Arabidopsis thaliana: one gene and its partner. The protein of the gene in region 2 purifies or fractionates together with the protein of the main gene of each other region. This does not show direct contact. Each region holds a gene or a part of one and is shown on either strand. Other genes may lie near its edges.

Region 1 (7,426 bases), about 12 Mb from region 2:
GATTTAGCTACCGCACAACTGAATCAAAAGACTTGTTAAATTGCTCTCTTAGTCTTATCATACCTTCATCTCATATCCATTATAATCATCTTTAGCAATACTATTTTATTTTTAACTACGAAAAATAAACCTTGTTACGCCGTTATTAACAGTGATCATTTTTTTCGTTAAAGAAATTTAACATTCAAAAAAGATAAAGAATGATCACCAATAAGCGTCATGATCTTCCGTATGGTGATGATAAACATCGTTTGCAGTTTTGTTGTATAGTACAACGTATATGTAGCCGTAACGTGTGAATAGTGTATGGTTAGGGTCATTTTATTTGTGAACTACCACAATTTTGATAGCAGTGGAGATAAGTCAAAGGTTCGTCTTCTAATTAATTAACAGCGATTATTAGACTATCTAACTTTTCTTCTTTTCTTATTTTGATAATAACTATATATCTTCTTTAGCCACCTTACTTTCTCATCGGGTTCTATTTAAATAGGGACAAAGAAAACAAACCATCGATTTGTACTATGTGCTCAATTATATCATATGTTTTGTCTCCATCTATGTATCTATTTCTCTTTTCCATTTGGTAAATTATTTAAGACCCTTAAACTGACTTTTCTCGTGGGCGGCGTCGAAGTTTTGGTTAACAGACAAAACATCTGTTCATGATGCCTGCATAACTCTATGTTTTTATACTACTCATTTGCCCTCTATTTCATGCTACTCTTAAAAATAGCTAAATAAAAATACTTCAATATTAGAAAAAAAATCTTCTTGATGTCAAAAATACACTTTAGATATCCCCTCTAGTTCTTGTGATGCTAATATATTACAAAATTGTTTATATATATAGAAATATTACCTCTAGCAATACAAAAATCTTGTTATATCAATTAAATATAACACTATCCGACTAGTGTTTACTAAAATAACACATAATTTTTAATTATGATCTTTGAATTTTAGTTTATGTATTACGCTTTATAATTTTGTTATCAAAAACTATAAAAGCTCAAAAGTGAGCATCTATACCCTAATTCCGTTTTTATGCATACACTTAGGTTTATTTTTATTACGAGAATCTGTGTTTAGTATATATAAAATAGAGTTTATGAATGACTAAGTTAAATACTTCAATACTAATTAAAGTAAGTCGTATTGATGCAGACAATATAAACTTTAGATATCTCCGCTAGTTTGTATAATGCTAATAGATTCAAATTGTCTTTATGTAGAGGAATTACCTCAAATAACATAAAATTTTCATTTTATTAATTAAATCTCATTTTGTCATTTCAAAAGTCATTTTAATTACTGTGTTATTTGTCTAAAGTATACTCCAAACAAGAAACCAAAGTAGAAGGTCAGTGCCCAAGAGACAAATAAACTTAAGCATGTCCACTCTTTTTAGCGATCGGATCGCTTATCTGTTCTTATCCATTATGGAACATGAACGATGTTCCTTTAAGACTACCACATTCAAACGAAAAATAAGTCATCGATGATAGACTGGATAGTTATAGTTTGATGATCTAGCTAATTGACTTTCATATTTACATAAAACAGAAATGTGTTTTTATCAAAAAAGAAAAAAGAAAAAACAGAAAATGAACAATACATCTCACATGGAGTTTGTACAAGAATCCATAATAATTTTTTGTTCGGTACAGTAGGTTAGATATACATTTGAATACAGTTTACAAGCCAAATGTTAGAAGCAACATATTTATATAGTATCATCAATATACGATCCAAAATGAATTATAGATTGACTTATGGAAAAGTTAGATACTATATGCATGATTGCCAAATACATTGAAAAATAACAATTTAAGTTCTTCAAACAAAAGTTTATAAATGACTCGGTGTTTGACATAACTCGGGGTTGTTTTTCTTTGTTAATTCACACACGGGGTTGGTGTATAAATGACTTCGGTGTTTGAAATGTATGACACGGTATAAATAAAAAAGGTAAGGAAGAAATGAAGAATAGAAGAAGAACAAAAAAAAAAGGAAATTAAAAAAAAGTCAAAATAAATGGTCAGTAAAGGATTTTGACCAGACCGGAGCGGTCCATCCATAGTTTCCCACTACCTTCCCTGATTTAGCACAGAAGAATGGCAATTTGCATGCCATTTATTTCATCTATTCCTCCTTCACTCTATAAATATATTTTAAACAAAATCAATTTCTTCCATACACAAAAATCAAACACCTTTTGAGAGCGGTTATTTTTTCTCTATCAACTAATACAGTAACCTTACGGGTGTTTATTTGTATAGATCTCTGTGGTTTTCTTGGCCAAATCTAGTGAGATCTTTTTGGTTTCTCGAATTCGATGAAAATGAGACGAGGCAATTCAAGTAACGACCATGAACTTGGGATTCTACGAGGAGCTAACTCGGACACCAACTCGGACACGGAGAGCATCGCTAGCGACCGTGGTGCCTTTAGCGGTCCGCTTGGCCGGCCTAAACGTGCGTCCAAGAAAAACGCAAGATTCGCCGACGATCTTCCCAAGAGAAGCAATAGTGTTGCTGGCGGCCGTGGTGATGACGATGAGTACGTGGAGATCACGCTAGACATCAGGGACGACTCGGTGGCCGTCCATAGTGTCCAACAAGCAGCTGGAGGTGGAGGCCACCTGGAGGACCCGGAGCTAGCCCTTCTTACGAAGAAGACTCTCGAGAGCAGCCTCAACAACACCACCTCCTTATCTTTCTTCCGAAGCACCTCCTCACGCATCAAGAACGCCTCCCGCGAGCTCCGCCGCGTGTTCTCTAGACGTCCCTCCCCGGCCGTGCGGCGGTTTGACCGCACGAGCTCCGCGGCCATCCACGCACTCAAAGGTCTCAAGTTCATTGCCACCAAGACGGCCGCATGGCCGGCCGTCGACCAACGTTTCGATAAACTCTCCGCTGATTCCAACGGCCTCTTACTCTCTGCCAAGTTTTGGGAATGCTTAGGTAAGTAAATCACTTCTTACTAAGCAATTCTATTAGTACTATATGTTTCCATTTTTGTGTTAGTCTCATTTTTGTTTTGTTTTTTACTCTAGGAATGAATAAGGAATCTAAAGACTTCGCTGACCAGCTCTTTAGAGCATTAGCTCGCCGGAATAACGTCTCCGGCGATGCAATCACAAAGGAACAGCTTAGGATATTCTGGGAACAGATCTCAGACGAAAGCTTTGATGCCAAACTCCAAGTCTTTTTTGACATGTAAGCTTTTTTTTACATATCTTCACCTAACCCACAATAAATATATAACGCGTAATCACTATTTGTCGTTTAATATTGACTCTTAATGAAAATTAAACGGTCATCAGAATTTAAGGACCAAAAGTAGTAATATTAATCATTTGTGGAGTTTTGGTGGATTTGTAACTAATATATGACATCACTGTTTGGTCAGGGTGGACAAAGATGAAGATGGGCGAGTAACAGAAGAAGAGGTGGCTGAGGTGAGAAAACACACACACCACTCAATAATTATCTTTTTCAAATATTTTATTATATTTATACATTTTTTTTATCTTATATTTATTCATATTCCTGGTTGAATTTTTTTTCTCTTATTTTATACGTTATTCTTGGTTGATTATTTTGACAATTTTGTCCACGCGCAAATCCCCACTGACTTTATCTGCTGACGTTTACTATTAACATCATCAATATATTAACTTCATGTGAACACGACAAAATGGTAATAGATAGATAGAGTAGTAGTCTTTGTTACTTTAGCTTAGGTTATTAATGTTTCAAATACTTTAGCTTTTGTTTTCTAATTTGTTGGTAATTTATTGCAGATTATTAGTCTTAGTGCTTCTGCAAACAAGCTCTCAAATATTCAAAAGCAAGCCAAAGAATATGCGGCACTGATAATGGAAGAGTTGGACCCAGACAATGCTGGGTTTATTATGGTACGTGTGGTCCACTTTCACCCACTCAATCACACTAATGGTATTATGTACGTCGTAAATTTAACCACTCTTAAAATACTAGAAAAAACGTGGAAAAACATAACGTTCTAGAAGTCTTTAGTGGTCAAAATTGGGTCACCATGATGTTTTTTAATTTCCAACTTATTGGGCCATCTTGAACTTTTTACCAAACCAATCAACAAAATCTCGACAATGGGTGGTTAGTGGTTACGATATGAAGAAATGACCAATAAAATTGTAAAATATATGAACTAACACTATAATCCAAGCTTAGAAAGTCTTAGGCGGCTTCCGATAGTATATTGTTTTTTAATTATTGGAGAAACCTATGAAAAGTGTTTTTAAGAAAAACAGTTTGGAACATTAATGTTTTATTGTAACGTTTTAGTTAATTATATGATATGGACATTGGTGAAACAGATCGAAAACTTGGAAATGTTGCTATTACAAGCACCAAACCAGTCGGTGCGGATGGGAGACAGCAGGATACTTAGTCAGATGTTAAGTCAGAAGCTTAGACCGGCAAAAGAGAGCAACCCTTTAGTGAGATGGTCGGAGAAAATCAAATATTTCATACTTGACAATTGGCAGAGACTATGGATAATGATGTTATGGCTTGGCATCTGTGGTGGCCTCTTTACTTATAAATTCATTCAGTACAAGAACAAAGCTGCCTATGGTGTCATGGGTTATTGCGTTTGTGTCGCCAAAGGAGGCGCCGAGACTCTCAAATTCAACATGGCTCTCATATTGTTGCCTGTTTGTCGAAACACCATCACTTGGCTTAGGAACAAGACTAAGCTTGGTACTGTCGTTCCTTTTGATGATAGTCTTAACTTCCACAAGGTTATTGCAAGCGGGATAGTCGTCGGTGTTTTACTCCATGCGGGTGCCCATTTAACGTGTGATTTTCCACGTTTAATTGCCGCGGATGAGGACACCTATGAGCCGATGGAAAAATACTTTGGGGATCAACCGACTAGCTACTGGTGGTTTGTGAAAGGAGTGGAAGGATGGACTGGCATTGTGATGGTTGTGCTAATGGCTATAGCCTTTACACTCGCGACGCCTTGGTTCCGACGTAACAAGCTTAACTTACCTAACTTCCTCAAGAAGCTTACCGGTTTCAACGCCTTTTGGTACACCCACCATTTGTTCATCATTGTTTATGCTCTTCTCATTGTCCATGGTATCAAGCTCTACCTCACAAAGATTTGGTATCAGAAAACGGTACTCTCTTCAAACCTCATTTTATCTGTTTTAATTTCTTATTTTCTTTCCTTTTTCCGGTTAATAACATTTATTACCTGTTTGTATGATTCTTGTAGACATGGATGTATCTTGCTGTACCCATCCTTCTATATGCATCGGAGAGGCTGCTCCGTGCTTTCAGATCAAGCATCAAACCGGTTAAGATGATCAAGGTCAGATATATTTCTATTTATCTCTTGAAAACCTTATGTTTCAAGAAATATTTCAACTAATACTTTTAAACCATCTTATTTTATAGTTCTTTTTGATAAAAGTTTGAAAATTGCCTTTGAACTTAATCTATATATATGTAACAACAGGTGGCTGTTTACCCCGGGAACGTGTTGTCTCTACACATGACGAAGCCACAAGGATTCAAATACAAAAGTGGACAGTTCATGTTGGTGAACTGCCGAGCCGTATCTCCATTCGAATGGCATCCTTTCTCAATCACATCAGCTCCCGGAGACGATTACCTGAGCGTACATATCCGCACTCTCGGTGACTGGACACGTAAGCTCAGGACCGTTTTCTCCGAGGTTTGCAAACCTCCTACCGCCGGTAAAAGCGGTCTTCTCCGAGCAGACGGAGGAGATGGAAACCTCCCGTTCCCGAAGGTCCTTATCGACGGTCCATACGGTGCTCCCGCACAAGACTACAAGAAATACGACGTGGTACTCCTCGTAGGTCTCGGCATTGGAGCCACGCCTATGATCAGTATCCTTAAGGACATCATCAACAACATGAAAGGTCCTGACCGCGACAGCGACATTGAGAACAATAACAGTAACAACAATAGTAAAGGGTTTAAGACAAGGAAAGCTTATTTCTACTGGGTGACTAGGGAACAAGGATCATTCGAGTGGTTCAAGGGAATAATGGACGAGATTTCGGAGTTAGACGAGGAAGGAATCATCGAGCTTCACAATTATTGCACGAGTGTGTACGAGGAAGGTGATGCAAGAGTGGCTCTCATTGCCATGCTTCAGTCGTTGCAACACGCTAAGAACGGTGTGGATGTTGTGTCGGGTACACGTGTCAAGTCCCACTTCGCTAAACCTAACTGGAGACAAGTCTACAAGAAGATCGCTGTTCAACATCCCGGCAAAAGAATAGGTAACTAATCTCGACCGTTAATCTCGTTATGTACGTGATGTTGTATAATAATTAATAAAGTGATGAATTTAGACTAAATACTAATATGAATTTTGATTGCAGGAGTCTTCTACTGTGGAATGCCAGGAATGATAAAGGAATTAAAAAATCTAGCTTTGGATTTTTCTCGAAAGACAACTACCAAGTTTGACTTCCACAAAGAGAACTTCTAGATTAATTATATACGTTGTAGAAAAATAAAACAAGAAACAACTATACAAATAAATATTTATTTTAAATTCTTTTCATTTTTATGTAAAATTATCTGAGTTATCTTTTTTTGTTCTTCTATATCCCTACCGTTTTGTTGGTTACTTTTTCACTACTTAGTTTAATGCCAAATTAAGTATAAGATAGTAGAAGTTTATATAGTTACAGCTTTGGTGTTGTAAACATGTAATCATGGAGTTATCTGTACTATTATTTTGTACTTATATTCGAATATTAACAACTAAAGATAGTTTTGATATTCAATACCCATTACTCATTTAACATAATGAATAGAGATATCAACATTAGATACGTCTTGATTATTTGCTCACCAATGCATTTGCGTGTTTAACTTGTTTATATGTTATTAATAGTGTTCTTTTAGTTAAAATGACAAATAATTTCTTAACTCAAAAGCATCTTATATCACAACTCTAGCTAGATTAGTTTAGCTTTTCATAAGTCTTCTTGCGTTTACGTCTTTATTTATGGGTTGATACCCTATTCACTACTTTAATTTGCCTTGCACTTGGGATAGTTTAAAAGACTTTAAAATTATGCAGCTAGAATATAATCAAAACTTGATATAAGTATCAAAATAATTAAATACAATTGCTATCGATAATAATCAGAAACAATCGTTATGAATGGTTAAGTTTGTTTCCTTAAAATGGTTACGAATGATTAATTTTGTTCCTTAGGTAAACTAAAAGTTCAAAAACAAATCCAACCTACTACAATCTAAGAAAACTGACAAAGTTTATGGTTGATTACAGAATAGGTCGCTTGAGCGTCAAATTAAGATAAAGAAGGAGACTTATGTAGAGCCGGCCCTTGGGCCAACCAGGCGAAGCATAGGTTTGCAGC
Region 2 (6,817 bases):
TGAAGCTGATCTAATTTTCTGGTAACAGTTTCAAGCTCTGTTGCCAGCTCCAAATTTCTAGCCTCTGCCTCTGATAAAGCTTTTCTCAAGTCTTTTGCTGCTTCTTGTTCAGAATGAAGCCAAGTCTGTATAAACATCAAACAAAAGAAAAAAATTAAGATTTGAATAAAGTCAAACACGATATAAAGGCACAACCGAAATTCAGGTTTTGGTTCCCGTACAAGTAGAACCATGTCCTGATGCATATCTAGACGATTAAGTAATTGAGCATGTAAAAGCAGAAAAGACAAACAAGGTTTCTCTCAAGGATACAACTTTTATATAAACTCTCCCTCACGTTCGATGGAGTTCATTTTCTTAACGGTTGCGACTTGAGAGATTCTTTTTCTTATACAGTTTCGTTATTAGTGTATATTAATTATTTTTAAGTGCATTACTTAATTAATCTATTTCAATAGAGAATTTCCCACTTGGCCTCTAAACTTACAAAGTCTTTATCTAATTGGTCACTGTCTCAAGCGAAACCGTTGATTATTTCTCTTTAAGTGAATGAAATCATTGACCTTAGGTCAGTAGGAAAAATATATCCGCAAGTTGATGATTATACAATTAATTAACATTTCCAAAAATCTCTGATCTGTCTTTGATCCGTAGTGAACCGTAAAGATTTAACCTTCATTCCACTCATTGGTGAACAAATCAAATACTTTTGTTGAACCGATGATTATTCTCATAGTTACTTTCTAATATCAGTTTATTTGTAAAATTACATACTTTTGAACATCAATTGGTTTGTGGGTTAAACAATTGATGGAAAACAATGAGGATGCTTGGACAGAGTTAAGTCAAGTTGGGAAGATCCAAAAAAAGAGTGGAAAGTTAAGGAACTGTAGTACTCAAACAAAAAACTAAGTGGACTAATGATGAAAAGAGACTCTAAAATTCATTTCCAAAGCTGTAGGTGTTCAATGTTCACCTCATGGAAAACATAATGATCTAAGGGACGGATTTGACTGAGTAAATACCGGACAGAGTTCTCTTGTTAGTTTTTCTAAGGTCATTTCTGCTTTTCACGAATGACCTGAACAGAGAGCCAAAACAATGTAAGCTTATAAGTATTGGGAACATAAAAAGATTGGCATAGCATCAACTAAGAATCATACCAGAAAAGCAACAGCCTGCCTGATATGGTCCAACTTATCCCAAGCTAAGCCAGCATACTGTAAGAGATTTAAACCGTAAGGTCATTTTTTCGGGTGAAAATGTCGAATAGGCAAAGGCGTGTGACGAGAACTTGTGGCTTACTTCATCGGTAGCTTCTACACACCATTTTTTTTAGTTCAGCCTGACCTGCTTTAACGTGGTCCCCATTTCTTGGTGTGCAAGATTCACGACATTGAAGAAAACTGCACAAGTTTATTACAGAGAAATCTTTACGTCAAAATTGGATTGAGAGATACTAAAATAAGTAATTACTAGTGAGCATGCCTGTTGAGAAGATGAAGATTGATGAAGGCAAATATTTGTGTGAATACTTTTCTGACTAAGAATGGTGGAACCTGCATCATGTAAACATAGAATATAATCACAATTTTTATTTTGAGAAGCCATTAGAATTGAACAATGCATGGGTTTTTGTTTATTCAAAGATGGGATTTTATTAAGATTGACTATATCATACAAAGGCTTAAACAAAAGCCCTAACTTTAGATTTACAAAAGCCCAAGAAAGGCCCATCAAATAACTAACTTTTGCAGAAGCAAATCTATCTGAACTTCATCCATGGATACGTTTCCAACAATACATGGGCTTGTCACTTATAATCGTGGCTTGTGTCTTCAAATTATAAGGTCACATAACAAAACTACATGCAGTCTATTGTTTTTCTCCTTCGTCGACGAACTACTTTTGCCGTTTAATAGATCATAAACACCACACATTTCTACCGTCACAGTGACAACACTTCCCAATTATTCTGATTATGGCGCAGGGGATTCGCCGGAAGATCCAATCTGTGCTGATTTTGCAAGAATCGATGGGCTTCCTCAAATTATCGGGCGCTTTTTACGACACTGCAATTGATCGAAACCTTCGCAAAAAATCGTAAAGTAAAAATCCTCTTTTTATTTTTATTTAAGACCCTTTAGTAGTTTATCAACAAGTAAAGATTGCATTTTTTTTGGTACATGTAATTTGTTTCAGAATTTATAAACAAGAATTTCTATCAATGTCTTTGAATTAACTTTGATAAATTCAAACTTTCTGATGGATGGTTGTCAATACAAGTTTCAGAAGAAGATTGAAACCAAAATGACTAGACAAGACGTTTGGTGTATGTCGACCAATGTGTTCTGTTTTGGGTAGCACTTTGCCTTAACTCTGTTTACACACACACGTTTATGTGTTTTGACTGTTGAAAAAAAAACGAAAGATATTTCAAAAGTCTACGCAGTACACAATTTGTTTGTTTGTGACCATTTGCAATGATTTTGGACCGCATTTAATTGCCCCACGACTGTAATGGGGATCACAGTTTGGATTTTGCTTCTTGTTTACCTTAAACTTCCTTTCATTTTAATGTTGAAGCAGAAGAACCTTTCTTTTATCTTTTTATAATCGACATGAAGCTGTCCTTTTCACTTGTTTTCAATGCTCTCACGTTGCTTCTTCAAGTTTGCATCTTTGCTCAAGCCAGGTTTTCTAATGAGACTGATATGCAAGCTTTGCTTGAGTTCAAGTCTCAAGTTTCTGAAAACAACAAGAGAGAGGTCTTGGCTTCATGGAATCACTCCTCCCCATTTTGTAATTGGATTGGAGTCACATGTGGCCGCAGGAGAGAAAGAGTTATAAGTTTGAACCTTGGAGGATTCAAGTTAACCGGTGTGATCTCACCCTCCATTGGTAATCTCTCCTTTCTTAGATTACTTAATCTTGCAGACAACTCTTTTGGAAGTACCATCCCTCAAAAGGTGGGAAGGCTATTTAGGCTTCAGTACTTGAACATGAGCTATAATCTTCTCGAAGGAAGGATTCCGTCTAGTCTTTCTAACTGCTCTAGACTGTCGACCGTTGATTTATCGTCAAACCATCTTGGACATGGTGTTCCTTCAGAACTAGGTTCACTTTCTAAGCTTGCCATTCTGGATCTTAGCAAAAACAACCTTACTGGAAATTTTCCTGCATCTTTAGGAAACTTGACGTCACTTCAGAAGCTTGACTTTGCATATAACCAGATGAGAGGTGAGATTCCAGACGAAGTAGCTAGATTGACTCAAATGGTGTTTTTCCAAATAGCACTGAATAGTTTTTCAGGTGGTTTTCCTCCTGCATTGTACAACATCTCCTCTCTTGAGTCTCTATCTCTAGCTGACAATAGCTTTTCGGGTAATCTTAGGGCTGATTTTGGTTATCTTCTACCAAATCTAAGAAGACTTCTTTTGGGAACAAATCAGTTCACTGGAGCTATTCCCAAAACACTTGCCAATATCTCAAGCCTTGAAAGGTTTGATATCTCATCTAATTACCTGTCTGGTAGTATCCCTTTGAGCTTTGGAAAGTTACGTAATCTGTGGTGGTTAGGGATTCGTAATAACTCTCTTGGAAATAACTCGTCCAGTGGTCTTGAATTTATTGGGGCTGTGGCGAACTGCACTCAATTAGAGTACTTAGATGTTGGTTACAATAGACTTGGAGGTGAGCTTCCTGCTTCTATAGCCAATCTGTCCACTACATTGACTAGTCTGTTCCTTGGACAAAATCTTATCTCTGGAACCATTCCTCATGACATCGGGAATCTTGTAAGCCTGCAAGAACTCAGCTTAGAAACAAATATGTTGAGTGGAGAACTTCCCGTCTCTTTCGGGAAGCTTTTGAACTTGCAGGTTGTGGATCTGTATTCAAATGCAATATCGGGGGAAATACCATCTTATTTTGGCAACATGACTCGGTTGCAGAAGCTCCATTTGAATAGCAATAGTTTCCACGGAAGAATCCCTCAGAGTCTTGGACGTTGTCGATACTTGCTAGACCTGTGGATGGATACAAATAGGTTGAATGGGACTATACCTCAGGAAATACTGCAAATTCCATCCCTCGCTTACATAGATTTGTCAAACAATTTCTTGACAGGCCATTTTCCAGAAGAAGTTGGAAAGTTAGAACTTCTTGTTGGACTAGGTGCTTCGTACAACAAATTATCAGGAAAGATGCCACAAGCTATAGGGGGTTGTCTTTCGATGGAATTTCTCTTTATGCAAGGAAATTCGTTTGACGGAGCCATTCCAGATATAAGCCGGTTGGTAAGCCTAAAGAATGTTGACTTCTCCAACAACAATCTCTCTGGCCGGATACCTCGATATCTGGCCAGTCTTCCTTCGCTGCGAAATCTGAATCTTTCTATGAACAAGTTTGAGGGAAGGGTGCCAACAACAGGAGTGTTTCGAAATGCTACAGCAGTTTCTGTTTTTGGTAACACAAATATTTGCGGAGGCGTCCGAGAAATGCAACTAAAGCCATGCATTGTACAGGCATCTCCAAGGAAGAGAAAGCCTCTGTCAGTTAGAAAGAAAGTTGTCAGTGGTATTTGTATAGGTATAGCTTCGCTTTTGTTAATCATAATTGTGGCTTCTCTGTGTTGGTTCATGAAGAGGAAAAAGAAAAACAATGCCAGTGATGGTAACCCATCTGATTCTACTACTTTGGGGATGTTCCATGAGAAGGTAAGTTATGAAGAGCTTCATAGTGCAACAAGTCGCTTCTCTTCAACCAATTTGATTGGTTCAGGCAATTTCGGTAATGTGTTTAAAGGATTGCTTGGCCCTGAGAATAAACTCGTCGCGGTTAAAGTTTTGAACCTCCTAAAGCATGGAGCGACGAAAAGCTTTATGGCGGAATGTGAAACCTTCAAGGGTATACGACATCGTAACCTTGTAAAACTGATAACGGTTTGTTCAAGCCTTGATTCCGAGGGAAATGATTTCAGAGCTCTGGTCTATGAGTTCATGCCAAAAGGAAGTCTGGATATGTGGCTGCAGCTAGAAGATCTGGAAAGGGTAAACGATCACTCGAGATCTTTAACACCCGCAGAGAAACTCAACATAGCAATAGATGTGGCTTCAGCTTTGGAGTATCTGCACGTTCATTGTCATGACCCTGTAGCTCACTGTGATATTAAGCCAAGCAACATTCTTCTAGACGATGATCTGACTGCTCATGTTAGTGACTTTGGTTTGGCTCAGCTCCTCTATAAATACGATCGAGAATCCTTTCTAAACCAGTTTAGTTCTGCTGGTGTCAGAGGCACCATTGGCTATGCCGCGCCAGGTTAATAAACATCTATATGCAAAAAGTATTGTTTAACAAAAGAGTTATCCAACCTCATTGTGTGTTGTTTCTTTGAAATATGTGCAGAGTATGGAATGGGAGGCCAACCATCAATACAAGGAGATGTGTACAGCTTCGGAATTCTACTTTTGGAGATGTTTAGTGGAAAGAAACCAACAGATGAATCATTTGCAGGCGATTATAACCTCCACAGCTACACAAAGTCTATATTATCGGGTTGCACGAGCAGTGGAGGCAGCAACGCCATTGATGAGGGGTTGAGACTGGTTTTGCAGGTGGGGATAAAGTGTTCTGAAGAATATCCGAGGGATAGGATGAGAACGGATGAAGCAGTACGAGAATTAATCTCAATAAGATCTAAGTTCTTCAGTTCCAAGACGACTATTACAGAGAGTCCTCGAGATGCTCCGCAAAGTTCTCCTCAGGAATGGATGTTAAATACGGACATGCATACTATGTAGACCCTTCTCAACTACTTATGGGGACACAGTAAAAGTGTATTTGCGTGTGCATCATCGAAACAGAACAAATGTTGGGAGGAGGAGAGACTACTAGTTATAATAAGAGAATAAATTAAAATCTATCTCTGCTGTAGCCTTTTTTTTTTTGTTGTGGGTGAAAATGATTATGATCACATATATATGGTCGTTGAATATCCTTTTTCATTTCACTTTTGATACACGTTAAAGTTCTCTGTGTCCATAAAGATTGGAGAAACCTTGTTTGAAAATGTTCACTAGTAGCAAAACTTACTTAACAAAATTCACTCATTAGAAGACAAATCACATTAATTAACACCGAGAAAAATGTTATTTTATACCTGAACTTTCAAAAAGTGGCCAAATTAACCGTGAATTTTTGAAATGATCGTTTTATACCTCAACAAAAAGTTGACTTCTAATTTAACCTATAAGTTATCGTTGACCCGGCCAAATCGACTCACCATTAACACTTCTTAACAGCTCTCCTAACAGCGTAACTAACAACTGTTTTTGTCCTTAAACCAACAATAACGGCTGTTAGGCCATGTTTTGTAACGGCTGTTAGGAACGCTGTTAAGGAGTGTTAACGGTGAGTATATTTGGCCGGGTCAACGACAAATTATAGGTCAAATTAGAAGTCAACGATAAATTATAGGTTAAATTAGAAGTCAACTTTTTGTTGAGGTATAAAACGACCATTTCAAAAGTTCACGGTTAATTTGGCCATTTTTTGAAAGTTCAGGTATTAAATAACATTTTTCCCAATTAACATCCATAATGTGACTGCTCATTCTTCTTTTACAGATAACACTTATTGTTTCGTTTCAGTTCTGCGATTGGACATTGCTCTGTTATTGTATTCTGGACTACTTCTAGAAACATTCAATACAACAACAAAAAAGTCTCTTTAAGAAACACATGAAAAATATAAGATGTGCAACCTATATAAATAGTGAAAACAAATTCTAGTTCATTCATTACAATTTCCCAAA

Evidence for each region.
Region 1: the proteins of EFR (region 2) and RBOHD purify together in Arabidopsis thaliana (affinity purification with western blotting; one study listed by BioGRID). This does not show direct contact.

The regions. Positions count from the first base shown.
Region 1 is NC_003076.8:19,395,247-19,402,672, forward strand, and holds RBOHD (respiratory burst oxidase homologue D), read left to right. Parts: upstream 1-1,794; 5' UTR 1,795-2,338; coding exon 2,339-2,966; intron 2,967-3,058; coding exon 3,059-3,221; intron 3,222-3,414; coding exon 3,415-3,463; intron 3,464-3,808; coding exon 3,809-3,922; intron 3,923-4,363; coding exon 4,364-5,173; intron 5,174-5,271; coding exon 5,272-5,367; intron 5,368-5,514; coding exon 5,515-6,310; intron 6,311-6,412; coding exon 6,413-6,522; 3' UTR 6,523-6,815; downstream 6,816-7,426. UniProt on the Arabidopsis thaliana protein: Calcium-dependent NADPH oxidase that generates superoxide.
Region 2 is NC_003076.8:6,919,876-6,926,692, forward strand, and holds EFR (EF-TU receptor), read left to right. Parts: upstream 1-1,633; 5' UTR 1,634-2,621; coding exon 2,622-5,322; intron 5,323-5,409; coding exon 5,410-5,804; 3' UTR 5,805-6,026; downstream 6,027-6,817. Other genes in the region: HDK (myosin), read right to left, coding at 1-245.